Linked DNA regions of Schizosaccharomyces pombe. Changing the gene in region 3 together with the main gene of any one other region gives a genetic interaction. Each region holds a gene or a part of one and is shown on either strand. Other genes may lie near its edges. The genes, in order: ura2, ure2, ura4 and ura1.

Evidence for each region.
Region 1: of ura4 (region 3) and ura2, a mutation in one rescues a mutant of the other (synthetic rescue), as found in Schizosaccharomyces pombe (one study listed by BioGRID).
Region 2: of ura4 (region 3) and ure2, a mutation in one rescues a mutant of the other (synthetic rescue), as found in Schizosaccharomyces pombe (one study listed by BioGRID).
Region 4: of ura4 (region 3) and ura1, a mutation in one rescues a mutant of the other (synthetic rescue), as found in Schizosaccharomyces pombe (one study listed by BioGRID).

Annotation. Positions count from the first base shown.
Region 1 is NC_003424.3:4,425,368-4,431,841, forward strand, and holds ura2 (dihydroorotase Ura2), read right to left. Parts: upstream 3,460-6,474; 5' UTR 3,439-3,459; coding exon 3,322-3,438; intron 3,245-3,321; coding exon 2,348-3,244; 3' UTR 1,936-2,347; downstream 1-1,935. Other genes in the region: srp2 (guard protein for 5'-capping of pre-mRNAs Srp2/Npl3), read right to left, coding at 1-470, 526-625, 670-743, 832-901, 1,092-1,160, 1,210-1,234, 1,287-1,292, 1,333-1,369 and 2 more; tRNA dihydrouridine synthase Dus3, read left to right, coding at 4,317-4,357, 4,406-6,218.
Region 2 is NC_003424.3:4,984,543-4,992,705, reverse strand, and holds ure2 (nickel-dependent urease Ure2), read left to right. Parts: upstream 1-3,336; 5' UTR 3,337-3,460; coding exon 3,461-5,968; 3' UTR 5,969-6,165; downstream 6,166-8,163. Other genes in the region: lipin, phosphatidate phosphatase Ned1, read right to left, coding at 1-1,000, 1,149-1,430, 1,501-1,560; csn71 (COP9/signalosome complex subunit 7a), read left to right, coding at 2,042-2,659; SPOM_SPAC1952.10C (uncharacterized protein), read left to right, coding at 6,412-6,684, 6,800-7,612.
Region 3 is NC_003421.2:113,143-119,319, forward strand, and holds ura4 (orotidine 5'-phosphate decarboxylase Ura4), read right to left. Parts: upstream 3,484-6,177; 5' UTR 3,434-3,483; coding exon 2,639-3,433; 3' UTR 2,447-2,638; downstream 1-2,446. Other genes in the region: protein mug135, read right to left, coding at 1-236; protein tam14, read left to right, coding at 1,779-1,784, 1,842-1,974, 2,041-2,114; protein new25, read right to left, coding at 4,436-4,705; thioredoxin-related chaperone Pmp20, read right to left, coding at 5,281-5,751.
Region 4 is NC_003424.3:738,152-748,774, reverse strand, and holds ura1 (bifunctional carbamoyl-phosphate synthase/aspartate carbamoyltransferase Ura1), read left to right. Parts: upstream 1-2,660; 5' UTR 2,661-2,740; coding exon 2,741-9,475; 3' UTR 9,476-9,608; downstream 9,609-10,623. Other genes in the region: ime4 (mRNA (2'-O-methyladenosine-N(6)-)-methyltransferase), read left to right, coding at 373-1,632; kri1 (krr family protein), read right to left, coding at 10,055-10,623. UniProt on the Schizosaccharomyces pombe protein: Multifunctional protein that encodes the first 2 enzymatic activities of the de novo pyrimidine pathway: carbamoylphosphate synthetase (CPSase; EC 6.3.5.5) and aspartate transcarbamylase (ATCase; EC 2.1.3.2).

The DNA.
Region 1 (6,474 bases), on a different chromosome or scaffold from region 3:
GACTCCATTGATGCTTCAGGAGCAGCTGAATAGGATTTGGAACCTTCATAGGCAGGGGAGCGATTCTCTTCTCTATCACGTCTAGGAGAAGGACTACGGCTATAAGCGTCACGTCGATACTCATCATCATGGGAAGGGCGTCCATCATCACGAGAACGACGGTATTCGTCTCGTCCAGGGCGATATTCATCACCTCTAGGACGACGATACTCATCATCATGAGGACGACGATAATCACTTCTGGAATTACGTCTATACTCATCGCGACCACCACGACGGTATTCATCACGATTATTACGCCTGTATTCACCACGAGGAGCATAACGACGTTCATCATCTCTGCCGGGACGATAAGCGTCACGACGGTAATCGCCTCCTCTACGATAATCATCACGATAACGACGGCGAGCAGGTGGAGAACGTGAACGGAAGCGGGAGGGTACTTCGGGAAGGGGCTCATTAGCGGCATCCTGCTAATCGTTAGAAAATTTACGCAAGGATCTTTAAAAAAGATTAGATGCTTACAGGGTCTTCGCGTAAAGTAACTGCTTGGCCTTTAATGACTTCACCATTAAGGCTCGTCAAAGCGTTTCTCATATCCTCTTCAGTAGAAAATTCAACAACACTGCATTAAAGTTAGGTGAAAAAATGATCAAAGTAGAAACTTACCCAGCACCAGGGTTTTCACGGTGAGCATCTGTGAAAGTGGGTTCACCAGCTTTACGCATTACATCCTTCAGGTCCTATGAAAAGTGTTAACACTGAAATATAGATATATGAAAAAAATCATGCATTGACGCAAAGGTCATTAAATGTATAAAATTGTCTTACCTGCCAACTGACATCTTCTGAGAGATTTTCCACAATCAAACGGAAACCGGTGCGACGGGGACGGGGGTATCTGATACGTTAGTATAAAAATATTGCCGTAATTTTTATAGGACAATGCGATTTTGCAAGCGATAACACCGTATATAGTCACTACTCAGAGCTGATTCACATGTGAAGTGAACAAAATCGTTAGAACCAGCAATCGCGTGCAATGCCAAATCGCCCACTAATCACATATTAATGGAAACGTAACAACGTACTTAGAAGCAGCACTTTCTCTAAAGTTCTCTCTTCTTCTTCTTTCACCGCGAGCAGGTTCTACAACAATACTTCGAACATTAGCATATTTTAATCTAAATTCATAATGTATTGACTTACCGGCTGCCCATAAACTCTTTGCCCTCTTTTTTATAAGATTAGTAAATAAAGTCGAATATTAAACCTTTGAAGCATACGAAAGTCTAAACTGTTAGCAAAAGTTTTAAGATGGTATGAACGTACCATTTACGATATCACGAGCATCGCGAGCGTCTTCAACCTACATCAAGTTAGTCACATAGGGATTACAAAAAGAAGGCTAATGGTTTTATTTACCTCAACAAAGCCAAATCCATTCATCAGCTTGCAATCAAGGATTTGACCGTAACCTTTAAAAAAATCCATCATATCCTCGCGAGTCGCTAAATTTTTGTTAAAATACTATTTACATTATTTAGTTACAAACCTTGAGGAGGAATACGGCCAACAAACAATCTAGTCTCCGACATTTTTTTTTGGTGTAGTTGGTTCTTGCTGGGTGAAGTTCGACCCTCAGTCGGCAGTCTTGAGGCTGAAGGCCGGCGAAACCCAAGTTACAAAATATAAGATAATGAAATAAAATATAAAATCAAATTAAAAGAGATGGTGTTAATCAAACCTTGTCTAACGATTTTATGCATTCATCGGTCCACACTTTTTCCTAATATTGTATAAATGAAATCTGAGTAACTATCAACCATACTTCAGAGTGTCTATTGAAATGATTAAGAAGGTTAGATAATAATTAATTAATGGATCAAGATGGCGATGATAATTTCATCGACGGGATACTGTAAGTTTAATTAATCATGATTAAGGAGCTAGGATATCTAGTAGTCAAGATGCAACTTCAAGAAGTAACTGTTGTCTTTACAGTCATGTACGTAGGTTCTTATACGTATAATTTTCTTTTTCTATATTAATTATAAATAACTATAAAGTATTTTAGTAAACTTCAATGAATAATCCGAATTTGAGATAATGAAAACAAGTTTCTGCTCATTCACCAGTTCTCTATCTGGATGAAAAACTTTACGAAAATTTTGGAATTCTGAAAAGACTCTTGCCAGATGACACGCAATGTTTGCATTCGCCGACGCATAATGATTAACCCAATTAACTTCAAATGTTATTTAAAAATTCGTAAATCCAAAACATAAAAGCCGACAAGTTCAAAAAAATAGATAGAAAAAAAAACACATAATCAACATGTACTGAATTACTCCCATGAACAGTGCCATTGAAGAACTTCGTTTGGATGAAAAGGAACCAAATCATTGGCAACACTTTCAGGTACGCGAAACGACTCCTTTTTTAAGACGATATTAGACTCTTTGAAGTCTAAAGGAATACAATAAAATTTCCTACCAAAAATACATGCAAAATCCTTCAAAGCATCTAAACGACCCTCTTTATCAAACACTTCAGCTAAGTACGAAGCAGCGAAAGGTTGGGTAAAAACACCAGCTGCCGGTGGCGTCTTCAGTTTAGAAGACCTAGGATGAGGTGCAGAATCACTCCCAAAGAAAAACTTGGGATTTTTACTGGTAGCAGCTTCAATAAGAGCACGTCGGTCTCGTTCGGTTTTGGCTACCGGCTTGCAGAAACAATAAGGATCATCCTGCCAATCTTTTTGTGTGAGATAAAGATGATGGGCAGTTATAGTACCCGCAACACTTTCACCGCATGCTTTTACTGCCTCAACAGCGTCGGCAGTGGTGCAATGTTCAAGCACAATCTTGAGTTTTGGAAATCTTTGGTGAAGGTCTAGTAAAGTAGGAAGAAACTTGGGCTCAGCCGTAAAAACGGTGTTATCCTTAGAGGGGGGAACTTCTCCGTGAATGTTCAGAATCATACCTGTTTCTTGCATTGCAGCAAAGGTAGGATAAAAGGGTTCGTAGCTTTCAACACCACTTTCAGAATTGGTAGTAGCTCCTTTCGGATATGATTTAACTCCTCGAATTCCCTTTTTTGCAGCTTCGTAAATAACCTCAGGTGTAGTTTCCGGTGAGAGATAAAGACTCATTAAATAGGTGGTCTTGGAGTCAAGCTGCTCAATTTCTTTTTTATATTGCAAACAGGCATCAACGGTAGTAATTGGGGGGATTAAATTAGGCTGTTATACGCGTTAAAAAGTTAAACCTTTGTAACCTTCAAATAAATTTTTTGAATAGCACAATACTTATTACATACCATTACATACGCAACAGAGACTCCACCCTCTGCGACCGTTGGAACTACAGCTTTTAACATATTATCTTGCCTTAGATGAACATGCATATCAGCCAAACCAGGTATTTTCAAACTCATCTTGTATAGGTAGTGGGTATTGTCAAGTTGAGTAACTAGAAAGGTGCACTTTATACTTAGTGCTAAATTAAACCAAGAATAAACAATCTTAACAATTGGTAAAAAAATACTACTTAAAATTAGTATGTTTCTTTCAATATAAATTAGTGAGGGTAATATAATTACTTCAAAAAAATTTACTATACCGATAATTCTCCAACTAATTTCAAAGATTTAATTGATCGGAGTTAAACCAAATATTATTTCTTAATTCTTTTTATTAAAGTTCAGATGCCTAATTCTAAACATAAGAATTCACCAACAGCTTAATTATTAGACCACCGTCCTGACTCTTCGGAAGCATAGAGCTACTTGCTTAATCATTGAAGCTCCATTATTAGATCTACCTTAGTATAAAAGAAATCCGAAACGTGTAACTACTAGCATTTCCTGTTTATGTGTAAATATACAGGTACATAATATGAAGAATTATGGTCATCAGTACAAAGCAGTTTAAATTTAACTTAGTAATATCTTGGCATCTGAAGAATATACAACTCAATGAATAGCAGCATCTCAAAAGTGTGCATTCTAAACGTCTTTAAGATTTATACATTTCTAATTTCAATAGACAGTTACAGCCATTGTTACGTTTTACAAAACATAACTGTGTACCTAAAAGCATATAGCGTTAATATTACTATGCAGTTTTAGAGTTTTTTTTTATCTATTAGGCAATATGATTGCTTTTCGAATCTATCATGTAAACCGTTAATTTTGAATATTGCACTGCTACGTCGTATCTTATTTTCACAGACGCGCACAGAATCTAGAGAAAATATGCAGTTTGCATAAAGCAAACTACTAAATTCAAGGGAAATCGGATTTTTGGGTACTTAATGGCAGAATTGGAGACTGGAGCGGTTCCTATTCGGGAAGAGTATGCTTGAACCTCGCTTTCAATAGTCAATTACTAACTATACCTTAGATTTTTGGTGAAACAAGATGGAAATAAAAAACGAAAGCGTAAAGAGAGGGGTCAAAATAAACGGAGAGAAAAAATTCACGTAAAAGAGAACAACGCTCTTTGTCCAGCTATATCTATTGGGAATGAGTGTCCATATAAAGAAAACTGCAAATTCCCACACGATGTGGAGGCTTACCTTGCTACCAAGGCACCTGACATTGGAGACAAATGCCCTATATTCGAGCGGTATGGAGTATGCCCAGCTGGTTTCAAATGTCGCTGGCTAGCGGGCCATGTTGTTATCAATGCAGACGGAAAGTACGAGCTTATAAAAAAACCCGATGGGCAGTTTACGCTTTTTACCGTAAATACTGTTGGAAAAGAGGTACAGAGAAAGCTAAGAACAAAACAGTTAGATCTATCAAAGGCTGAAAGTATTATATCCGCAGTTTTAGGTGAAGAAAAGCCCGACCCTTCTTCAAAAGTATCCAATATTCCTGAGGAAAATAGAGATGCCACTAGTGCTATTTCCGAAGGAAAAGAGACAGAATCTGTTTCACTGGAAGAAACTGGGGTGTTAAAAAATCAAACCGTCTCGGTCAATGTCGATTTAAAAGAAATCTCTTCACAAGCTCGGTCAAACATCGCTTTACCTACTTTACGGCCTCAAGAAAAAAATCTCATTGACTGGCGAGACAGAAAGATTCTAGCTCCTCTTACCACCGTTGGAAATCCACCTTTTCGTCGTCTTTGTGGCTCTCTGGGTGCTGATACGTTTTACTCCGAAATGGCGATGTGTTATCCACTTATGCAAGGTCATCAACCTGAGTGGGCTCTTGTTCGTGGGCTAAACTATGAGCGTGAAATGATGCGAGGTGGTCGTCGTGGTATATTAGGGGTCCAACTAGCTACCGGAAAACTTTGGCAGGCCACTAAAACTGCACAAGTAATAGCTGAACAATGTGATGGCGTTGATTTTCTCGATTTAAATTGCGGTTGCCCTATAGATTTGGTATTTCGTCAAGGCGCCGGTTCTTCTCTTCTCGAGAATCCTGGCAGGTTACTTCGTAATCTCCAAGGTATGGATGCGGTATCTGGCCAAATTCCTGTCACCGTAAAACTTCGTATGGGAAACAAAGACGACCACCCAGTTGTCAAAAATTTAATTGGTAGAATTTTCAACGAAACAAACACTTCAGCTGCTACATTACATGGAAGATCTCGCCAACAGCGATATAGTAAAAACGCAAATTGGGATTATATTGGTGAAATTGCTTCTAAAGTAAAAAGTATGAATGAGAGAATAGATGAACTTCCTGAGGACTCCTTGCGTACCCAACCTCTTTCGCTGATTGGAAATGGAGACTGTTATTCATGGCAGGATTGGTATGATGGTGTTAACAAGGGTGTTGATACTGTGATGATTGCCCGAGGTGCACTCGTTAAGCCATGGATTTTTGAAGAAATTGAAGCTCGTCAGTTTATTGATAAGTCATCAACTCAACGACTCGAAATGTTGGAACAATACTGTAATAATGGTTTAGAGTATTGGGGTTCTGACTCTCAAGGAGTCAATACGACTAGGAGATTTTTCTTGGAGTTTATGAGCTTTTTCCATCGTTATACACCTATAGCTTTGTACGAAGTTCAAAGGCCCAGATTAAATGATAGACCGCCTCTATATACCGCGAGAGATGAGATGGAAACTCTCTTGGCCAGTAATAAAGTTACGGACTGGGTTAAATTGAGTGAGTTCTTCCTAGGTCCTACTCCTGAGCGATTCACCTTTACACCAAAGCACAAAAGCAATAGTGTGGAAGAGGCAGAGGGATAAACAACTTATGGTCTTAGTGTATCGAGCATTCACTTTCTTCATATGCATCATCAACTTTTCATACTTAATACTGGCTTATCATCTGGATTGAATTAAGTAGATTAATAAAATATCTGGTGACTTATATACGAGTGATCTGTGTTTGTCTCGTAAAATGCGCAAATGACTAGGCAAATTGGTAATGAATCTAACGTTATATAGTCAACTTACCCAATGGGAACTAACCAACGATCTTACAGTACTCTACAATTACTAT
Region 2 (8,163 bases), on a different chromosome or scaffold from region 3:
TCTGTTCAATATTCCGGAGATAATGTCGAGTAGAATCGGCTTGGCCTACCGAACGACTAGTTAAATACATAATTTTGTAGCCGTTGTTAGTGATATCGGTATACAATTTGGCAACTCCAGCATGAGTCCAATCCTTGCCGATCAAGGTAAACATATGCCCTAGAGCATCAGATTTGGTAATTGTTCCATCAATGTCCGATATAACGACAGGATCGTTGTGTTTCCAAAAAAAAAGATTAGCAGTGCAAATGGCCTTACCCCCGTTGACTCCAAAGGAAAGCTCATTTTTACCGGGCTTCAAATTTAATGAACGAAGCTGATCAGAGGTTAAACGAAGGGTTTTAGCATATTGAGGATATGACTCGGAAACTGGGCTCAAAGACTGTTCAGATAAAGAGTGTCGACGGCTTAAATCAGAGTCCTCATCCATTAAAGCCGAATCGGACTTTGGAGACGCAGGAGTGCGAGATGGACTTGCAGGAGGACTGTGTCCATAGACCTCCGCAAACTTTTTGGCATCTTCAGAAGCGTGAAACCACAGATTACCTTCTTCATCTTCACGCAGAAGCTTTTCAATCATGGGAAATTCATCCTTGAATGTTTCCCGTGCCAACTCTGCAATGTTTATATTCGCAGCAGAAGATTTATAACCTGTCATGTCAAGCATCACATCACCATTATCCCCAACACGTGTAGGAAGTTCTTTCCCAGAAAGCCTTTTCCCCAATTCCTTTGCCTTTTGTAACAATCGTAAGTCTGCTAGCGTTGTTGCAGGCATCGACGGAGTTCTATCACTTCCAGCCATTTCCAAACAACTCGAATGTCGAAGGTGCTTAAAGCCGGTTGGAGGTGTTTGATCGGCATCGGATTTCGAACGGCGAATTAAATCTCGAGTAAGAGGGAACTCGTAACCGTCCTCCATCAAATAGGTATTCGATTGATCTTTCTCATGATCCTGAGATACTTTATCGAGCTCGAGATCTTGAGGCTCAGTGACATTCTAAAGCAAGACTGTTAGTAATTTTCGTGATTGAGATAAACTAAAAGCCGAAAGTAGTTGTGCAGAATTCTGATACCGTATTCATTAAAATATTGCACATAACTGTTTTCCACCGGACAAGTCAGCCCCAGTTTACTTTTGTACATACAATGGATGGTGTTTGCTTTGGCGAAGTGGTAGGCGACACAATGGGAGATGTTTGAAGTTCTCGTGGAACTGCATTCTCAGTAGCAAATACAAAGAACGCTTCACCTCCATCCCCAAGTTTCATATTAAACCCAGTCAATTGACCATTGACCGAAAATTCAACCTTTTTGTCTGAGGGCAAAAGCAAGCTAAACTTTCCAAAGCGAACATGAAAAGGTGAACATGCTAATGTTTTATCCTCTTGCTCAACCACAATCACGTCAATGGCTCCAGAGAGAGTCGACTATTTACGAACACTGTTAGCATATTTGTTCAATTGTTTAACCCATCATTTCTAATTATTGAGAACTTACTGGATTAATTGCATTCCACGTCTTCGTAACAGAGTCAAACGCTCGTCCTACATATTGCATCGTGCAGCAGCTACGAACAGAGGTAAATGGGATGACTAGCATACCATTATGAGCAAAAGCGTGGGAGGAAGGGCGAGGCAACATCTATGGTCCCTGCGGTCTGTTACGTTATTTGACCTTACAGTCCCATACTATAACAAAAGTAAGCAATGTAAACAAACCACCGAACTTCATAACACTGAACTTGGAAAAAGCGACATTTTTCTTTTCTTTTATATAGATATATAATTTGTTTAGAAAAAATAGAGATTTTTTTATGAAATTTGGATTTTAAGGACCATTCTTGTTTTTGCAGGGTCCCACGCATAAGTCTCAAAGTAAAGATATTAGGAGAACTTTTGCATCCCTTTTTATGTTCCTTTGATTACTGAAGGGCCATTATTTGAAAATACACACGAATACTTTTGATTGTGGCTTCCTTTGCACGTTTTAATAATATTGTGGCACATCATTAACCATCACATTTACAATATCTCTTGTCATGGAAGAAAAGATTTCACAGGCGATTGACGATCCGAATGTATTTTGCTTTCAGGAATTATGGATTGAGTGCCAAGAGGTCCAGAAATCACAGCCTATAGACAGCGCCGTTCTAAGGACACTCGAGATATTCTGCAGAGGAGATATCAGAGATGCCTCATCTGAATGGAATGAATTGCGTTTCAAAAAACTTCGACTTCTTACACTTATCGATTTGGCTAATAGACATGTTGGAAGTTCCGTCTCATTTGAAACCATATTGGTTCATCTACAGTTAGATCGGCTTCCTCCCTCTGATCCTACCTTCACGGTCGAATATTATATCATGCAGGCCATGATGAATCAAATTTTAGTGGGAAAAATTAATGCAAAAACTCAGACTTTACATGTATCTTGGGCACTTGAAAGATTTCTCGATTCCAAAAGGATAGATGAAATGAAGTATTCCCTTGACCGCTTCATCGAAAGGTGCTCGAATATCCTTTTTCAATTAGATGCAGGAACGCCCAGTGTATCAAAGTCTTTTAAACGTGCTAGTCGCATGTCAAGTAGCGACGGAATCGATTACATGGTGTTTGATAAACGCCCTCGTCCGGACGATACTGACTTTGATCTATAATAGCATACAAAAACTTGTTTCCTCTCCTAAAAGCCATCTTATCAATATAAAGGTTGTTTCGAGGATATATGGACGGAACAATATAGTGCAGATGTTAATTACAAAAGTTGAGGATTTGACAAAATTAAATTTCGTATAGACGTTTTCTTTTATCTTACACCTGCCCTATTTTTTCCTTTCATGGTTCATCGAGATGTAAATTCAAAAGTTGGTGGTCTCGTTACTATGTTTTTTTTGTCTCGCATATACATTATGAGCGTTTTATGGTAGATAATGATTTTTTTAATAGATCTAATTAATATTTTAAAAATGGGTTTTGGTCATATAATTTTCATGCGATGATATAATTTGCTGCGTGTAAACACAACATACTATACTCAAATATAGACTGGAATAATAAGTATACTAATTATCGAGAAATGGTCGACATCAGTTCGTGCACAAAAAATAAACAATACTTATTTCCCTTTCCTTTTACTTGAATAAGTGCTCAAGCGAACTGCTACGTGCCAACTTTTGTAAACTTCATAGTTATGCTTTTTTTGACACCAATTCAACTTCATGCTTAGCTTTTCGTTACATTACCTTAGTTTCTTCTTGTTAGTTGCGTACAATCGGCGCACCCTGCCTGTTAGACTAAGATAAGATATATGGTGGTTAGATTAAATGCATCCTTCAGCAACTTACCGATAAACGTCTCAACACGAACTAATTTACAAATCCTTAGTCGGAAAGTGTAAAATTATATCGATAAAGTGAAAGGAAGCGTATCGGAGATATCACTCTAGCGTTGTTCCAACTATGCAACCCAGAGAGCTACACAAATTAACGCTTCACCAGCTGGGATCTTTAGCCCAAAAAAGGCTGTGTAGAGGGGTAAAGCTTAACAAGTTAGAGGCTACTTCACTTATTGCATCTCAAATTCAAGAATATGTTCGCGACGGTAATCATTCCGTAGCAGATTTGATGAGTCTTGGTAAAGATATGCTGGGTAAACGCCATGTTCAGCCCAATGTCGTTCATTTGTTACATGAAATTATGATTGAAGCTACTTTCCCTGATGGAACCTATCTAATTACCATTCATGATCCCATTTGCACTACAGATGGTAATCTCGAACATGCTTTATATGGAAGCTTCCTGCCCACGCCAAGCCAAGAACTGTTCCCTCTGGAAGAGGAAAAGTTATATGCTCCGGAAAATAGCCCTGGTTTTGTTGAAGTCTTGGAGGGCGAGATTGAACTATTGCCTAATTTACCTCGTACTCCCATCGAGGTACGAAACATGGGTGACAGGCCAATTCAAGTTGGATCACACTATCATTTTATTGAAACTAATGAAAAACTATGCTTCGATCGCTCAAAGGCTTATGGAAAGCGCTTGGACATTCCGTCAGGTACTGCTATTCGATTTGAACCTGGCGTAATGAAAATTGTCAATTTAATCCCTATCGGTGGTGCAAAACTAATTCAAGGAGGTAATTCACTTTCGAAGGGTGTCTTCGATGATTCTAGGACTCGGGAAATTGTTGACAATTTGATGAAACAGGGATTCATGCATCAACCTGAATCTCCGTTGAATATGCCATTACAATCTGCACGCCCTTTTGTTGTTCCTCGTAAATTATACGCTGTAATGTATGGTCCAACAACGAATGATAAAATTCGTCTGGGAGATACAAATTTGATTGTGCGCGTGGAAAAGGACTTTACTGAATATGGAAATGAATCTGTTTTCGGCGGCGGAAAGGTTATACGTGATGGTACGGGACAGTCTAGCTCAAAATCAATGGACGAATGCTTGGACACTGTAATTACAAATGCTGTAATCATTGATCATACCGGTATCTACAAGGCTGACATTGGCATCAAAAACGGATATATCGTAGGTATAGGTAAAGCAGGAAACCCGGATACAATGGATAACATTGGAGAAAACATGGTCATTGGATCTTCTACAGATGTTATATCAGCTGAGAATAAAATTGTTACTTATGGTGGTATGGACAGCCACGTTCATTTCATCTGTCCTCAACAAATTGAAGAGGCATTGGCTTCCGGTATAACTACTATGTATGGTGGAGGAACTGGCCCTAGTACGGGAACTAATGCTACTACCTGCACCCCAAATAAAGACTTAATCCGTTCCATGCTTCGTTCTACTGATTCTTATCCCATGAACATTGGTCTCACCGGAAAAGGAAATGATAGCGGTTCAAGTTCTTTGAAGGAGCAAATAGAAGCAGGCTGCAGTGGACTTAAGCTTCACGAAGATTGGGGATCTACTCCCGCAGCAATTGACAGTTGTTTGTCTGTTTGTGATGAGTATGACGTTCAGTGCCTAATTCATACCGACACCCTCAATGAATCCTCTTTTGTAGAAGGTACATTTAAAGCTTTTAAAAATAGGACCATTCACACGTATCACGTTGAAGGAGCCGGTGGTGGGCATGCCCCCGATATTATTTCTTTAGTCCAAAATCCAAATATTCTTCCCTCTAGCACCAATCCCACACGACCATTTACTACAAATACGCTTGATGAGGAACTGGACATGTTAATGGTATGCCATCATCTTTCTAGGAATGTTCCTGAAGACGTTGCATTTGCAGAATCCCGTATTCGTGCTGAAACAATTGCTGCTGAAGATATTTTACAGGATTTGGGAGCTATTAGTATGATTAGTTCAGACTCTCAAGCCATGGGTCGTTGTGGTGAAGTAATTTCAAGAACTTGGAAAACCGCCCATAAAAATAAGCTACAACGAGGAGCACTTCCTGAGGACGAGGGTTCAGGTGTTGATAATTTCCGTGTGAAACGTTATGTATCCAAATACACTATAAACCCTGCAATTACTCATGGAATTTCTCATATTGTTGGTTCTGTGGAGATAGGCAAGTTTGCTGACCTTGTCTTATGGGACTTTGCTGACTTTGGGGCAAGACCCAGTATGGTGCTGAAAGGAGGAATGATTGCATTGGCCTCTATGGGTGATCCAAATGGATCGATTCCAACGGTTTCTCCCCTCATGTCCTGGCAAATGTTTGGTGCACATGACCCCGAGAGGAGCATTGCATTTGTTTCCAAGGCCTCTATAACATCCGGTGTTATTGAAAGCTATGGACTTCATAAGAGAGTTGAAGCCGTAAAATCTACGAGAAACATTGGGAAGAAAGACATGGTTTACAATTCATATATGCCAAAAATGACTGTTGATCCAGAAGCTTACACAGTTACTGCAGATGGTAAAGTTATGGAATGTGAGCCTGTAGACAAACTTCCACTTTCCCAGTCTTATTTTATCTTTTAATTATTTAGATTTTGATTAAGGAAGATAATGCGAGTTTAATTAATATGAAATTTTGTTTGTAAATTTCTTTACAGTTGTTTGAGGCCGAGAAATTCCATATCAAATTTTAAAAGACCAATTACTATTTAAGTTTATAAATATAATATACTCCCGCTTATGAGTTGGTGGATCAACCTTGTTTGCTTACTACCCACGTTTTTGCTTTAAGGTTATATAATTCTTTTCAAACACTAACAAATATTTGTCACAAATTCATATACTATAAACATTCAGAAAAGTTGTATTTGAGCTAGTGTACAGTCGTATTCGTTAAGTCAGAGTGAACTTCGTCGCTTACCAAAGCGGTAAACAACACCTACAATCAACGTTCGATGAGCCTAAGTGACTAAGCTGTGAAGAGATTAAGACTTTCATGAAAGCGTTATTAATAATTTCTTTTAATCATGAAAAAGTTCTTGTCATTCAAGCCTGCTGAAGACTTCCTTCGATCTCTTAAAAAATCATCACAATGGTTTCTGCTGATCATTATTGTCGAGGTTACCATTACATTATCTTTTGAAGGATATGTTTTTCATCATTTTCGTTTAATCACAGTCGAAAAAATTGATGTCTTTATAAATGCTATGGTGCCGTCTACATTTGCACTGTTTTGTATGGCATGTCCCTATTTACTTTATACGGCTGTAGATGCATTATTAAACAAGGATGTAATACAGGTAAGTTAATTGTCTCCAAAAAAAGCTAAAATGGCATTGTTTGTCTTTTGTCGATTCATATGGTTGACGCACTTGAGATCTAAACCAATTCAAGCTAACCGAATTATACGTTTAGATGTCAGCACTTCTTATCTTTCATGTAAGCCTTTTTTGCCTATCTGTTGTCCAATATTTTCAAATATTTTCAAAAGACCCCAGAGCGATTTTCCTCTCCGCTTTATACTTAATAGATCCCATTCGCCTCGTCACATCATTTAACTATCACGAAAGAATAGTTGTTAATTCTCATATGTTGTTATTTTATCTGAAGCCATTTGTAATCGCTCTTCCGGTGCTAATCGGCGTTACTTGTATCTTGCTGAGCTTCTTGGTTTACAAAATGAACAAAGCATTTGGATGGATTATGTATCAGCAGCATGGTCCTGATCTTCGAATGAGAAGAAGGTATCTCGTATACAAAATATTCATGTCCTTAATTAAGTCGGACTATTATTTTTGCCTAACGGCTACTGTTCAATATGCTATCTTCTTTTCTACCATAAGTCGTGTTGGGCTAGCACTAACCATTCTTGTCTTCCCCTGTACAATCGCAACTTTGATGACCTGTAGGTATGCTGTTTACAGAGAAAATCGTGCATTGTTAGGGATTGTACAGTTTATGTTTATGTGTGGACTTGCATATTTTATTTACAACTGTGCTAGGCTATACCTAGGCGTCGACTATGGGGATATTGCTGTTGCAAATATTTGTATGTTGGTGTTTTCAATAGTCACCATAATTTATTTGTTCACAACCATAGTCGTAGGGTTTTATTGCATTTCCAACTTCGGTTATGGTCTTAGGGAATATTTACGCTATATCCATCAAAAGCAAAAAGTCAATGCGGCTCCTGCTGTTCCTAAAGTTCGCATGCCATTGGACGACTGAGAGCTCTCTTTCTTTTGGCATTCTAAAAATGTGTTTTCTTGTTGTTTATCAATGTTCCTCATCTCTCTGTCCTAATCATCGTTTGTTTTCTTACGCCTGTTGAATTTACTGTTTTCCATTTCGTGTTTCCTTGCATTCCTTGGTAGGTGAATATTTTGTGCTCCGATCTCTTGTACTGTGTTTTTCCTTCATTTGACCTTTAATACATATCTTTTTTGTCTTTGTTAAAATTTATTGCTTTCGGTCCTTCTTTTGAAAGCTCAGTCTTCTTGCCTATAATTCACAATTTGAAAAAAAAAAAAAAAAAAATCTCCTAATTCATGCTTCATTGCTCATATCATTGCTATTATTAAAAACAAAATTCTCAACATGCTATTACAATGATTTAGTTGAGTAAACATTTTGAGCTGGTTCTTTTCTTATACAGGAAAAAAGGTGATAGCTAATTGGAGTTGACCATTTCCTTACGGAAGTTTTAGAACGAATATATCGTTCTGTGGCCTACAAGGATTTTAAGTCAAAAAATTCTATCATTTTTCTGGTTAAGAAGG
Region 3 (6,177 bases):
TTATCAAAAGCCCTTTTCTTGGAATTGAATAACGTTCTTTCAGATTCAACAACAAAATTCAAATTTTTCTCTTTGTCTTCCAATGCTTTCCTTTCTAGCTCAAGCAACTTTTTTTTTGCCGCAATTTCAAAGTCGTTCAAAAATCTCCTTCCCTCCTTTAACGACCGTTCGCAGGGAGGTTGAACGCCCAAGTCATTCGCAAATAGTTCATTTAACCTATTGTCTTCTTCAGACATAGTTAATAATATTTTCTGCTTTATAACGTCAAAACGTGGTAGTACGACAAGGTACAGTTTAGCAATGGTAATTGTCAATTAAGTTGATGTACACAGAGCGTCAGCATTGAGCAATGTAAACAAGCCAACCCCATATACGAGAAATAATTCGCGTTAGCAAACACTACACTACCTTATGTGACTCACTGACTATTCACATTTGCTGAGCATATCTCATCCATCTGATCATGAATGGATTAAATCTAAAAAAAAATTAATTGCTCAAGCTTTGAATGTAAAAACTTTGTTCTCGTCTTAAAACTTCAATCAAAAACGGTAGCAAAAACATTAACTTAAATGCTTTGGCCGGGAATCGAACCCGGGTCGAATCGATGGCAACGATTCATTATACCACTAAACCACCAAAGCCGATTTATTCCTTCATAATTTTTGTACCATATAACTCTTCAAAAAAAATTTACTCCAGTGTACTTAAATTTTGTTATTCCAATATGAGATTTATTTTGAGAAATACGGGCTAACAGTGGAAATTTTCATTTATCTAAAAAAATTTTTACAATCTCGGTTTTTTATTTTGCCCTTCTCTATACCAGCGATAGATAATTCCAGTTAGTTTCAGGTTTCCCTTAAGTATGTTAAGATGGCTTGTCTGTTCATACTGATACATTTTTACAAATAAAATCACCATAATCTTGCCGCTGTCATTAGGAATTTCACTTACAAAAGACGAATATGTTATAATAAGAAGTTGCCAGATATCAAATTACCCCAATCACCATTACTCTGCAAACTAAGATAGTGTCCAATATTAGTCAGCACAGTATATTTTACCATCCTTTTCCTATTACCTTTTATAACTAATATTCATTTTTGCTTATCGATCACTGAATATTTCTCTTCTCGACAGTTATAAATATTAATTCACATGTTTACTAAATAGAGGATTATAATGGAAATGCATCTTATCACTATTTTTTTTATCGAAACTGTTTGGTTTTTTGGTTGTAAGCTACGCAGTTTGGTATCTGATTTAAGGATACGTAGAACTGCGGTGAGTTTTCCTTGTGATCTATTATATTACAATACACGGGTTGTATAAGTAGCAACTGAGTATAGGTATTGTATTAACTGGGTTATAATGTTACCTATCACTAATATAGCTCATAACTGAACTGAGGAACGAGGTTCAGCAGTAGCTCTATTTATAGTATTCAGATAATATAGATCTTAATAGATTATCATTAAGATTAATCTCCATATCGTATCATACATGGTACGATATATAATTAGAACATGTGACATATAGTGATACACAACGTAGTGTATCATAGCGTAGTGTAGTATTGCTGACATTGGTAAACACTGTAAGTTCGTACCCTTTTGTTTGGTATATAGTATAACGTATTAGTGTGTACTTTGAAAGTCTAGCTTTACAGCTTGGCATTGTTCATACAAACGTCTTCAGCATATCTTTCCACACTTGCTCTGTACACGTATTCTTTCCCTCTTATCATTCCTGTTTTTCTTTTTTAATAAACCAACATGCCTGTAAGTAGTTTTATCTTTAGAAATCTGTGCATCATGGATCCTAACTATGTCTTTTAGACGGTTCAAACTCCCTCTCAGCGTCGTGCAAACACACAGTTTCAGAAGAACATTACTCGTCGTGTAAAAACAAATTCAAAAGAACGTTATGTTGCCAAACATCCTCCTACCAAGATTCCTCGTAACATTGCCAGTAAGTAAGAATTGATCCTATTGTTAGCAACTTTGGCTTGTGTTTCATACTGACAATGCATCTTAGTGTTTTTTATTCTTCTCATGTCAGGAGGAATTATTTTGGGAATACTTAGATTTCTTTTGACGTTTTTTTCTTAAGAACATGTGATTGGAGCAATTTTAAAACCTATTTGCACCGATATTGTGTATTATACTCCGAGAAAAAGTATACTAGTTTTGAATAATAAAGCTTGTGATATTGACGAAACTTTTTGACATCTAATTTATTCTGTTCCAACACCAATGTTTATAACCAAGTTTTATCTTGTTTGTCTACATGGTATTTTACATTCATCTACATACATCTTTCATTGGCTTTGTACATAGTTATCATTACAAGTCTAAAAAAATTCACTCTTTTCTTATTCAATGTCAATCCAAGAGAAAAGATTGTGGTAATGTTGTAGGAGCATGTTTAATAAATTACTATAGCAAATTACTTTTTATTCCCAAGGTGTTTATCTATAATAGTTAATATTTTAGTCGCTACATAAAATTTTACCAAAGAGTACTTGTATACTAATTCTAAATGCCTTCTGACATAAAACGCCTAGGAAAACAAACGCAAACAAGGCATCGACTTTTTCAATAACCAACCAAAAAAATTTTACATTAGTCTTTTTTTAATGCTGAGAAAGTCTTTGCTGATATGCCTTCCAACCAGCTTCTCTATATCTCTTGGCTTCGACAACAGGATTACGACCAGCTCCATAGACTCCACGACCAACAATGATGATATCGCTACCGCAGTTTACAATCACTTCTTCAGGAGTACGATATTGCTGTCCCAGCCCGTCTCCTTTAACATCCAAGCCGATACCAGGGGACATAGTTATGTAGTCGCTTTGAAGGTTAGGAAATCGACGACCAGCTATAAAGCCAAAGCAAAAATCGGTATGCTTCTCAAACCATTCTAAGGTTTTCTCTGTGTAGGAACCAGTAGCCAAAGAGCCTTTGGAAGACATTTCAGCCAAAAGCAAGAGACCACGTCCCAAAGGTAAACCAACTTCTTTGAGGCCTTGTATAATACCCTCGCCTGGCACTGTATGGCAATTTGTGATATGAGCCCAAGAAGCAATTTTGTACACACCAGATGCATATTGTAGCTTGACGGTATTTCCAATGTCTGCGAATTTGCGATCCTCAAAGATAAGAAAACGATGCTTTTTACCTAAGGCCACCAGTTTTTCTACCATATCCTGGTCGAAATCCTCGACAACGTCAATATGTGTCTTGATAACACAGACATAGGGTCCAATTTTATCTACCAATTCTAAGATTTCGGATTTCTTCGTCAAATCGACCGCGACTGACAAGTTGCTTTGCTTTTCTTCCATCAAAGCCAACAATTCCTTGGCAATGGGATTTTTCATCCCCTCAGCTCTAGCTGAATAGCTTTGAAATACTCTAGCATCCATAACTTTGCTTTTAAACCTTTAATTTCGATCCAAGCAAAAAAGAGGTTCTTGGTAGGACAATACGGTAAGAAAACACGACATGTGCAGAGATGCCGACGAAGCATAGTTAAACTGGGATGGTAAAATCAATTAAGAATTTATAAAGACAAAATTGTATAAGTCTCTAAAACATCTTAATTATACCTCACAGAACTATCTAAAATATATTCACAAAGTGCAAACATTATCATGAAAAAGAACCATTTTAATTTAAAGCAAGGGCATTAAGGCTTATTTACAGAATTTCTTACTTTTGTAAAGATTATAAGGCTGATTATCTTTTTCACCATGCCAAAAATTACACAAGATAGAATGGATGTTTGAAATTAAACGTGAGTATACAAACAAATACACTAGGTAAATCGAAACATTTTTTTCTCCATTAAGTAACAAATTCCTATTTAGAGAAAGAATGCTGAGTAGATTAAATAATCTATACAAACTTTTTTAACACAAATGCATACATATAGCCAGTGGGATTTGTAGCTAAGCTTCAGGAGTTTTATCCATTTAATGTATGGAATCAAAATTTAAAGCTTCTGTCAAAGTTTAACAATATTTCTTTTGGTTTAAATCAAATCTTCCATGCGATTAAGAAGATAGATGCTGAACAAAAGAAGCACATGGATAACCACAAAAGCAGTTTGCTCATGGGTACAACCATGAATTTTTTTTTCGACAATGATTCAAAGACCAGTATATCCAATACGCATCCTAGAATCTAGTCAAAGAAGAACCTAAAGTAGAGATGCAAATGCGCTAAAAAGAGTGGATATAAATTCAATATCATTTATAAAACAACTTCTTCCATTAAAAATTCCTTGGGCAAAACAAAAGTTCCAATCATAAAAAGTTAATAAGTTCTGAGTTGTGTCAAATCTGACATGGCATTCCTCAATAATGACACTCACTCATTATGTAAGCATCGAAAACATATTAAAATCTATACAAGCTGTTTTGTCATTACGGTCTGGCATCAACTTTTTTAGAGGCGGTACGAAGATGATTTTGCACACGGATAACCAATTCTTCATGAGATCCGCTAGTTTTAAGTGAATTTTTTTTACAATACTCAATTAACTGTTTTTTTGACCATTGACTAGGAGGACTTTGAGAAATGGAGGATGAAGCTGTCTCCCTGGAATTGTCTGTGATAGGACTAACTACAACCGCCAGGGAAGAAGCAGCAATAATTGCAGCAAACGATAAAGTTAAGACATTAGCTATTTTCATCGAAGATGAAATACAAATGAGTAAAAAGAACCCAAAAATGAAAACTGTTATTAAAAAGGAGATTTTGAAAATTTAAAGGTTGAGGTAAAGAACGGTTGTAGAAGACGAGCATCTAGAGGAAGACGCCCCCAACTGTGGCCAACGTTTTTCATTACCCAAATTCATCTGACATTGATTATGATACATTGAAGGTGTGCTTACATCTTTCTAGTCATTATTTTGATACCACCACTTAGAATATCCATTTCAACTTCTACCGATTTTCAATCGTGTTACGAAAACTTATTGTAATCGATTCAACGTTTTACTTGACATTAATTTTTTAAGCATATCTACTTTCTTATAAAGAATTGTACTAGTACTCAAACAATGAGTTGTTAAGATAATTGTGTATAAAATTTCATAAATCTAAACATATATCATCACAATGACAAAAAAAACTCAAATATGGAGTGCTTTATCTCCATCATTTCAAACGCCCTTAAATAAGGAGCTTATCTTTTTGATTCTAAGTTTCGTTCATTAAAGGAAAAAAACATTCCCATCAAAACAATTAGTACAACAGTTCATCAGATTTAAAGAGAGCTAAGGACCTTGTCAGCGGAGGAAATATCAACATCGGTGACCTCGTTCTCAATGAAAACCTTGACAACCTTGCCATTCTCGACAACAGCGGCATAACGCTTGGAGCGAAGAGGGCCCAAAAGACCGCTAGCGTCGAAGCCAGCATCAAAGGCCTTGGTAAACTCTCCGTTCCAGTCGGCGACAAAGTGAACACCACTTTGCTCACCACCGTCGAAAGACTTCTTCCAAGCCTTGGTGACGAAAACGTCATTTACGGCAACGACATAGATTCCGCTGATGCCCTTGGCAGCAAATTGCTTCTCATTTGCAATATAGCCAGGAACTTGAGAAGAACAAGGAGGAGTGAAAGCGCCGGGAACACCGACAATGATGAATTTGCCTTGAGAAGGGAATTCAACAACCTCTTCGGGCTTGTTTTCCCAAAGAGTAACTTTAGGCAAAGTAGATCCGACAGCAACCATTTTTAATAGTAGTAATAAATTTGTGTAAAAGTTAAAGCAAGTGGTATAAAATCTTTAGGAGTAACGGCGTATTCAAAAAATGTCGTTCAAGTTTAAAGATAGTATTATCAAGACAAATGGGCACATGTCGTTAATATATATACCTTTCTACAAAAACGAATCTTTTGGTGACGTCAAATCACCAAATTTGTCGGGATGGAAGATTTTTTTTCTTTACTGTTCTTCATCTTTGTATGAAGAGCTTTGTGGGCTGCGAGTGGTGGAAAATCCCAACCGGCACTGAGACCGCGCACAGCTGCGTTTTCAATGGTTCGTGCGATATTCGGTATTTGACTGTTGTAAAAAGGCAAGAAACGCTGAGACAAAGTGTTTACTAGACAGCCATTTTTATTAAAAAGAAAAAGAAAATGGCAATAGAGAAGATTA
Region 4 (10,623 bases), on a different chromosome or scaffold from region 3:
GTTTTCGTAAATTAGTTTTAAAAAATATCATTAAATGGAAGTTTTTAAAATATCAATAGAGATTTGTTGTTTCAATATTTGGTATTAAGCATAATAAGTTTAACTGCACTCCAGTTGATGGGTACGACGAAACCTATCGAGTAACTTTCGATAAAGTATACACGTTTGTCACGCGTCGAGAGCGGTATTTTCAATTATTCTTATCCGACTGAATTTAATTAACTCAACTCGCTACTTCTTATTTTGAGTTGAGCGCACATAAGCTATTTTTTGAGCTACTAATTTAATAGATTGCTATAACGAAATTCAGCGGTGTCCTTGTGCATTTCATTTATCACGATTGTTTGAGGTTCGGTATTCGTGTAATTTTTAATGCCATGTATATTATACATGGACGACACTAGTTGTCTCATTGACTTGCCAACATCTCTGCAATTTAATAAACATATTTTGCCCACTCGAACGAAGCCTGTCGTGAAGCCATATTTACTCCCCGAAAAATCAACTTCGGATTATGAAAACAGTGGCAAAGGCACTGTAGGGCAAGTACTGCAAAGCCTTCAGCGAGTTCGTCGTGCTTTACAGTTGCGCAGTTTGGATGACAATCAATCAACCGATAAATCACACCATGTTCAATTTCAAGATATCGTATACAGGTCAAATACTAGTGCATCAGAAATCCATTTTCAAGCTGAAAATGCTCCTTTAGTGCAATGGTACTCAGACATTTTCAAAGTACTAGTTAAAGCACCGGTTATACAGTTTGAGGATCAGTGCTTGCAATGGTTGAAAATGTTGAATACTATTCCACCGTCATATTCATTTATAACTATAAAGTCTAAAGATACAGTTGAACTTGGATTGGAAGAGATTTATCAACAATGTGTCCAAAATGATGGAGCGTCCGCTATAAAATTAAAGCTGAAGGGATCAAAGGTTATTACTGAATCGTCTGAAACTAATTGTAGGGATTCAATTTACTACATCCCTGCTCGTTCCTCTTTTATTATGGGTGACGTGGAGAAAACTGCGCAAATCCTTTTAGAAGCAATTGATGGCCATCTAGAAAAACCCAAATGCATAATTATAGACCCTCCATGGCCGAATAAATCTGTAGCTAGGAGCTCTGTCTATAAGGTGAACAGGAACCTTGGATATTTAAAAGCATTACCAATTCAGGAATCGTTAAGCAAAACCGGCGTCGTGGCAGTTTGGTGCACAAATAAGGAAAAGTATGTAAATTTTGTTAAAAAAGTGCTTTTTAAAAAATGGAATTTAACGCTTGTCTCTACATGGACATGGCTTAAAATAACGGCATTTGGCGAACCATTATTTGATGTTTATTCAAACATGCGCAAACCTTGGGAACAGCTTTTGATTGGAGTTACTTCAGAATATACATCTGTATATAGTGATAAAATCCCTCCAACGTTTACAATAATTGGTATTCCAGATTATCATTCCAGGAAACCATCATTAAAACCTTTCATTTCACGTTGGTTTAATTGTTCGGCAAATGAATCGCTTCCTGTTTTAGAAATTTTTGGCCGTAGTCTCACACCTAATTGGATTACATGGGGGAGGGAACCTTTGTTGTTTATGCATGAATTATACTGGTCATCAGACAATTGATGGAAAATGCTACATTGTTCGTATTGTGGTAAATTTTTGACCATGGTTTAAATGTTGTTTTATTTTTTCTTCCATTCTCTGTTTAAGATATCTCAGATCACGAATTACTACTGAAAGACGTAGAATAAATCAATACGTTTTAACGTTACCTGATGGTTTATGAGTAAACTACTTTATGCTATAAGAGCTCAAACTCATTCACTGTAGTATAACTTTATTAGGAAAAGCTCACTACTAATGTTCCTAAAATACTAAACTACCAAAGATACAATTTTTTTATAAAAAACCACTTTCGACTTTTTATTGCTAAAAGCTCAAACGGCGTGATGAGAAAAAAACTATTGCGAAGGTTTTACTTTTAAATTTTCTTAATATACCATAGGTCGACATCGTTTTGTTTTTCTACTGATATTCTTATGATGAGCTGTTGATATGTTTACTGGCTTTACCAAGCTTTCATTGACTAATGTATTAAGCACAAATCGGCTGCTATCCCTTCATTACCGATATCCTAAGTACTGTGTTATGTAGATACCGATGCTGAAAAATTACGTAAACCAAAATAACAATATTTAATCATAGATGGCGTTGTGTTTTTAAAACAGGTTGCGTCATACATGAAACTTTTATATTTGCTCAGAGAAAAAAAGAAAATATTCTCCTTTACAAGTTAGTTGGTAAGCAATATAAATCTTTAATTTTGTATCAAGTAGACCGCTCATAAAATGCCTTGGTTCGAAGACCGAAAAGCGGAAGTGAAATGTCATACCCTAAACATACACCGTAGCACAGTGTACCGCACTACTGGTTAATCCACGACAAGCAAAAAATTTTCCAACAACTCTTTCGGATTTGCCAGTTCTCGTCCTATAGGATTGTTAGAAACTGCCTAACACAGAAACTGAATTCTAAAAATTAGAATAGATTTATTTAATTTTTTTTATTTATCTGTAAAAATTTTAGTGTACATTGTGCTTTGACGAAAGCGTAAGTATTTTTTTTTCTGCTCAGGTTTTAAATTCTTTCTTGAGACCAACCACTCCTTAGAAGCAATATCTGGGAATCGCTAGTCTTAAGCCTCAAATCTGTGGAATTGTTGATATAAGCGATGTCCGGATTGCTACCTTCATTGTCTTCATCATTTCCACTCGTCCAGAGTGAAGCTCTGGGGATGCCAAGGACTCATGGTCCTAAACCATCTGAAAATGATCCTAAAGAGCCCACCTGCTCTCCATCTCCTGCCTTCTACTCTGTGAATGGCGAGATGAAAGATTATAAGCTAATGGCCTTGGAATTGGAAGATAAAAGTGTTTTACAAGGTTATTCATTCGGAGCTGATCACTCTGTCTCCGGTGAATTAGTTTTTCAGACTGGTATGGTCGGTTATCCTGAGTCTTTGACCGACCCTTCTTATCGTGGTCAGATTTTGGTCTTTACATTTCCCACAGTGGGTAATTATGGTGTGCCCGATCGTCGTATTCTAGACGAGATATCTGGCTTACCCAAGTATTTCGAATCCAATCAAATTCATGTTGCTGCTATTATTATTTCATCTTATTCTCAAAATTATTCTCATTTTCTTGCTCATTCTTCTTTAGGAGAATGGCTTAAGGAACAGGGCATTCCTGGTATTTTTGGTATTGATACCCGTGCTCTTACTAAAAAAATTCGCGACCAAGGTTCTATGTTAGGTCGTTTACTTATTCAAAAAGACGAATCCCCCATCAATCCTTCTTCAATTACTGGTCTCGGAAAAGACTGGAGTACTGCTTTTGAAGATATACCATGGAAAAATCCTAATACTGAAAATTTAACGTCTCAAGTTTCCATTAAAGAACCCAAACTTTATGAACCCCATCCTACTACAGCTATCAAAAAAGCAGATGGAAAAATCATCCGTATCCTTGTTATTGATGTTGGTATGAAATATAACCAAATTCGTTGTTTTTTGAATCGTGGTGTTGAATTATTGGTTGTTCCTTGGGATTATGATTTTACCAAAGAGACTTATGATGGTCTATTTATTAGCAATGGACCTGGTGATCCTTCCCTCATGGACTTGGTTGTTGATCGGGTAAAACGGGTGCTTGAGTCAAAGACTGTCCCCGTTTTCGGTATTTGTTTTGGACATCAAATTATGGCTCGAGCTGCCGGCGCCAGTACCACCAAAATGAAATTTGGTAACCGTGGCCACAATATCCCTTGCACTTGCATGATCTCGGGTAGATGTTACATTACTTCCCAAAATCATGGTTATGCGGTTGATGCGTCTAGTTTATCAAATGGCTGGAAAGAACTTTTTGTCAATGCTAACGATGGTTCAAATGAAGGTATCTATAATACTGAGTATCCATTTTTCTCTGTGCAATTTCACCCAGAGTCTACTCCTGGTCCCCGCGATACTGAATTTCTCTTTGATGTATTCATTGACGTTGTCAAGCGTTCAGCTGATGCAAAGTCTTTGCAGCCATTCAAGCTTCCTGGAGGAACAATTGAAGAAAACAGATCCCGTCATCCACTTGTGGATGCTAAGCGTGTTCTGATTTTGGGTAGTGGAGGATTGAGTATTGGTCAAGCTGGTGAGTTTGATTATTCTGGTAGTCAAGCTATTAAGGCTCTTCGTGAAGAAGGAATTTACACCATTTTGATTAATCCCAACATTGCCACTATTCAGACATCTAAGGGTCTTGCTGATAAAGTGTACTTCTTACCTGTTAATGCTGACTTTGTTCGTAAGGTGATCAAACAAGAGCGCCCCGATTCGATATATGTTACCTTTGGTGGTCAAACAGCCCTGAATGTTGGTATTGAGCTGAAAGATGAGTTCGAACAACTCGGCGTTAAAGTTTTAGGTACGCCTATTGATACCATTATTACCACTGAGGACCGTGAACTTTTTGCTCGTGCAATGGATGAAATTAACGAGAAATGTGCAAAATCAGCTAGTGCTTCATCTATTGAAGAAGCTATAAAAGTATCGAAGGATATTTCTTTTCCAGTTATTGTCCGTGCTGCTTATGCGCTTGGTGGACTTGGTTCAGGTTTTGCTGATAACGAGGCGGAACTCATTGATTTATGTACGCTTGCTTTTGCTACCAGCCCTCAAGTCTTGATTGAACGCAGTATGAAGGGATGGAAAGAAATTGAGTACGAAGTTGTTCGCGATGCTTTTGATAACTGCATTACCGTCTGTAACATGGAAAACTTTGATCCTCTCGGTATTCACACTGGTGACTCTATTGTTGTTGCTCCATCTCAAACTTTAACCGATGAAGATTACAACATGCTTCGTACGACAGCTGTTAATGTTATTCGTCACCTCGGTGTGGTGGGTGAATGCAATATTCAGTATGCTTTGAACCCTTTTACAAAAGAGTATTGCATCATTGAAGTTAATGCTCGTTTGTCTCGTTCATCTGCTTTAGCGTCAAAGGCTACCGGTTATCCTCTAGCTTTCACAGCAGCAAAACTAGGTCTTAACATTCCACTTAACGAAGTCAAAAACTCAGTGACAAAGGTTACGTGCGCATGCTTTGAACCAAGTCTTGATTATGTTGTCGTGAAGATTCCCCGTTGGGACTTGAAGAAGTTTACTCGCGTTAGCACTCAGCTGAGCTCAGCAATGAAGTCAGTTGGTGAAGTGATGAGTATTGGACGTACATTTGAGGAAGCAATCCAAAAGGCCATCAGGGCTATCGATTATAGCAATACTGGTTTCAACGTTAAGGATGCTTTAATGTCTATAGATACGGAATTGCAAACACCTTCGGACCAACGTCTGTTTGCTATTGCCAACGCTATGGCTTCTGGTTATTCAGTGGACCGTATTTGGGAGCTTACTCGTATCGATAAGTGGTTTCTTGAAAAGCTTATGGGATTAATTCGTACATCCCAATTGATTTCCAAGCATGATATATCTAGTCTTCCTATTTCTCTTCTAAAGACTGCCAAGCAATTAGGATTTGCGGACGTCCAAATTGCTGCTTTTATGAATTCTACTGAATTAGCCGTTAGACGTATCCGTACTGAAGCTGGTATCAGACCATTTGTAAAACAAATTGATACAGTGGCTGCGGAGTTCCCAGCTTTCACCAACTACCTTTATACCACTTATAATGCTGTAGAGCATGACATCCATTTCAATGATAAGGGTGTGATGGTTCTTGGCTCAGGTGTATATCGAATTGGCTCATCAGTTGAGTTTGACTGGTGCGCAGTTCGCGCAGTTCGTACGCTTCGTGATCGGGGAGTTAAAACTATTATGGTTAATTATAACCCAGAAACTGTTTCTACTGATTATGATGAAGCCGATAGATTGTATTTCGAAAATATCGGTCTTGAAACTGTCTTGGATATTTACGAGCAAGAATCATCTTCTGGTATCATTATAGCTATGGGTGGTCAAACCGCTAATAACATAGCCTTGCCATTACATCGTGAAAATGTTAAAATTCTCGGTACTTCTCCTGAAATGATTGATGGCGCCGAGAATAGATTTAAATTCTCTAGAATGCTGGATGACATAGGTGTTGATCAGCCTAAGTGGAAGGAATTAACTAGTTTCGACGAGGCCGATAAATTTTGCGATACAGTTGGTTATCCTGTGTTAGTTCGTCCTTCTTATGTTCTTTCTGGTGCCGCAATGAATACAGTCTATTCTCAGTCAGACCTGCATAGCTATTTGCAACAAGCTGTTGCAATTAACAAAGATCATCCTGTTGTTATTTCTAAATATATTGAAAATGCTAAGGAAATCGAATTAGATGCTGTTGCTCGTGAAGGAAAGATGGTTATGCACGTCATTTCCGAACATGTAGAAAACGCTGGTGTGCACTCTGGTGACGCTACTTTGGTTTTACCACCTCAAGATTTGGCTCCAACGACTATAGAAAGAATTGTTGACGCCGCTGCTAAGATTGGAGAAGCTTTGAATATTACTGGTCCTTATAACATTCAATTTATTGCGAAGGACAACGAAATTAAAGTAATTGAATGCAATGTTCGTGCATCGCGTTCATTCCCTTTTGTTTCTAAGGTTATAGGTGTTGATATGATTTCAATGGCGACAGATGTCATTATGGGTAATCCTATTCAACCCTACCCCGATGTTGATCTTCCTCGCGATTACGTTGCTGTCAAAGTACCTCAATTCAGTTTCAGCAGACTGTCCGGTGCTGACCCCGTCCTTGGTGTCGAAATGGCGTCTACTGGTGAAGTTGCTTGTTTTGGTCACAATAAATTTGAAGCCTATCTTAAAGCTATGATTTCCACCGGCTTTAGACTCCCGAAAAAGAATATTCTTATATCTATTGGTTCATATAAAGAAAAGGCGGAGCTTTTACCTTACGTCAAGAAGTTGTATGAAAACAATTACAACATTTTCGCAACAGCCGGTACCTCAGACTACTTTATGGAAAGTGGTGTTCCTTGCAAGTACCTTGCAGATCTTCCTGCTGAAGAAGCAAATAATGAGTATTCACTTTCCGCTCATTTAGCCAACAACATGATTGACATGTATATCAATTTGCCCTCCAACAATCGTTATCGTCGTCCTGCTAATTATATTAGCAGTGGTTATAAAAGTCGTCGTCTTGCCATTGATTATTCAGTCCCTTTGGTTACAAATGTCAAATGTGCAAAGCTTATGATTGAGGCAATTTGCAGAAACTTGGATTTCAGCTTGAGTACAGTAGATTTCCAGAGCAGTTTCCAAACTGCTAATCTACCAGGTTTGATTAACATATCTGCTTTCCTTCCTGAATTTACTTCTGAAGCCGTTTCTGACTATACAAAAGAATGTATTGCATCTGGTTTTACTATGGCTCGATTTTTACCATTTAGTACGTCTTCTACTTTAGCAGACAAGGATTCGTTGTCTGCTGTTAAAAAGTTAGCTTTAGACCATGCTCATTGCGATTACAACTTTTCAGTCATTGCCTCCTCAACTAATGAAGTTACTATCTCTGAACTCACATCTGAATCTGGCTGTTTGTTTTTCCATTTTGAGAAAGACGATTCTGGTATCGATCATGTTACTGCAGTTGCCTCTCATTTTAACGTATGGCCTGATACGCAGACTGTGATGACAGATGCCAAATCGACAACTTTAGCTTCGTTATTGTTATTGGCAAGTCTTCATAACCGTAGGATTCATATTACAAATGTATCTTCTAAGGACGATTTGAATTTGATTGTACTTGCTAAGCAAAGAAGTCTTCCTGTCACATTTGATGTTTCAGTTTATAGTCTTTTCTTGAACCAAAATGATTATCCCGGAGCGACATTTTTACCTACTGCTGATGATCAGGTTGAGATATGGAATAAGCTCTCATACATTGATTGTTTTTCTATTGGTAGTATTCCTTCTCGTCTTGCTAAGTTCGTGGGTAATACGGCTTTTACTGGCTTTGGAGTTCGCGAGGCAATTCCACTTTTGTTAACAGCTGTTAATGAAGGTAGACTTACTTTAAAGGATGTTGTTGATCGCTTCTATTCGAACCCTAAAGCCATTTTCCGTTTGCATGATCAAGACGATTCTGGCGTTCAATTGGAAGTTGATCGTTCTGTTAGCTGGTCTTCCAAAGACTGGACCCCTTTCAATGGCAAGAAACTTTATGGTAGCATCCAATCTGTTCAGTTTGACGGTCATGATGTATTCTTTGATGGTGAACTGAATTTCGAACATACTTATGGTCGTGACTATTCTTCGGCTAGTTTGGCTGACAAATCTAAGGCAACTAGAAAGGTTAGTGCGTTGATGAGTCCTGGTCTTCCCCATGCTGCCCCTTCTCTTGCCGAAGCATTCGGTCAAGCACCAGAGAACAAAGCGCATCCTGATATTAGCTTGAACATGACTCCTAATTTCAAGCCTTCTCATGAACTGGTACAATTGATCAACTCTTCGCCCTTCTATCGCAAGCATATCATTTCGGTGCACCAAGTTACTCGTTCTGATTTGCATGTACTATTTGCTATTGCTCATCAAATGAGAATCATAGTTGAAAGACAAGGTGTGATTGACTTGTGCTATGGAAAACTTCTTTGTACTATGTTCTTTGAACCATCAACTCGTACTTCATCGTCTTTTGATGCTGCAATGCAACGTTTAGGAGGAAAAGTAGTCGCTGTTACAGCTAGTGCTTCTAGTGTCAATAAAGGTGAGAGCTTGGCTGATACCATTCGTACACTTGGATGTTATGGTGATGCTATTGTCTTGCGCCATCCTTCAATTGAAAGCGCACGCATTGCTGCTAACTTTTCTCCCGTTCCTATCATCAATGGTGGTAATGGCTCGAAGGAGCATCCCACACAAGCTTTCTTGGATCTTTATACCATTCGTGAAGAGTTAGGTAGTGTCAATGGACTTACAATTACGTTTATTGGTGATCTTAAATACGGACGTACCGTTCATTCATTAGCTCGTTTGCTTGCGTTTTGGCATGTCGAATTGCATCTTGTATCACCTGAACAATTGGCACTTCCTGACGACGTGAAAGACGATATTCGTGCGAATGGATTGAATTTCATTGAGCACCGTGAGTTGACTAAAGAAGTTGTTGCACAATCTGATGTACTTTACTGTACCAGAGTACAGAAAGAACGTTTTGCTAGTGTTGATGAATATGAGAAATTAAAGGATTCTTTTATCGTTGACAACAGTGTTCTAGCCTCTGCCAAATCCCACTGTATCGTTATGCATCCTTTGCCTCGTAATCGTGAAATCAGTGAAGAGGTTGATTTTGATCAAAGACGTGCTGCTTACTTCCGACAAATGCGTTATGGTCTCTATATTCGTATGGCTTTACTCGCTTGTGTTATGGGTGCTACTGAAGTAGCAAATTAAAAATGGCTTTCTTACGTTTGTTATCTTATTGGTAATTGGATTTTTTATATTTTGGTGTGTTGATTTATGTTTTAAAAGTTTTGGTTTTTATTCTTAAGTTCTAGAATAGAATGAAAGGTTGATATACTTATAATTTATTTTCCACTGTATAATTAAAGTCGTGTAATTATTTTTCAGCACGTTTTTTATTTAAACACTTAAGATACTCAGTGATGTGCTGAATTAGGTATCACGGCTATTTTATTTATTTATTTATTTTAGCAGCCGTACTTATAAAAGTACGTACGTTTTTATGTTACTTATCTAATTTATTTTAATTTATCTATTTTTATTTATTTATATGTTTCCTTCATTTGTAGTTGGTTTGTTTCAATTTTTGTATACGAAAGTACGTTAGCACTATATTCTGTACGCTGGTTATAGTTGTGGTAGGATTCAGCCCATTCTTTTATAAAGTTTAACCAAGTTCCTAACGTAAACATGTAAATATAAAGATACAAATTTAAGTCTATAAATATCTAAAAATCAAACAAATGATGATATTATTATTTTACTAAAAAAACCTAAATGAAATTCCATTCATTTCCCAAAAACTTGTTTCTTCCATTCCCGAAGCCGCTTTTTCTTTCCATACTTCTTTTTATCTCTAGCAATCTCTTCCGGAGTACGATATGGAGTCATCTTTTTTAGACCTACATAATTATTAAGGTCGGCATCTGATGCGTTAAGAATATCAAGTATATCAAGTCCAAATGTCTCTGGGGCGACCTGTTGGTAGCGAAATTTAGAGTTTTTAACAATCACCGCCTCAGGAACACCGTATTTTTCTTCGACGTACTCATCAATTTTTCGTTTTTTCTCCCTGATATCTTTACGTAAGGATTTTTTTGATTTTTCACGATTTCCAGTATCTTCAACAGTTTTATTTTCTATGCTGCCCAGATCTTCGGATCCATTATCCACTTGAGCGATGTCATCGATGTCTATATCATCGCCAAATTCGGGCTTTTTAGCAGAATCTTCTTCGTAGTAATTTTCGTTAAAAATTTCTGACATTTTGGATTCCCATTTTTCCGGATCAAAGTCTTCATCTAAATCAAGTTTTGAAACATCGATATTTTTGGAACCAGCAATTTCAATAACCTGAT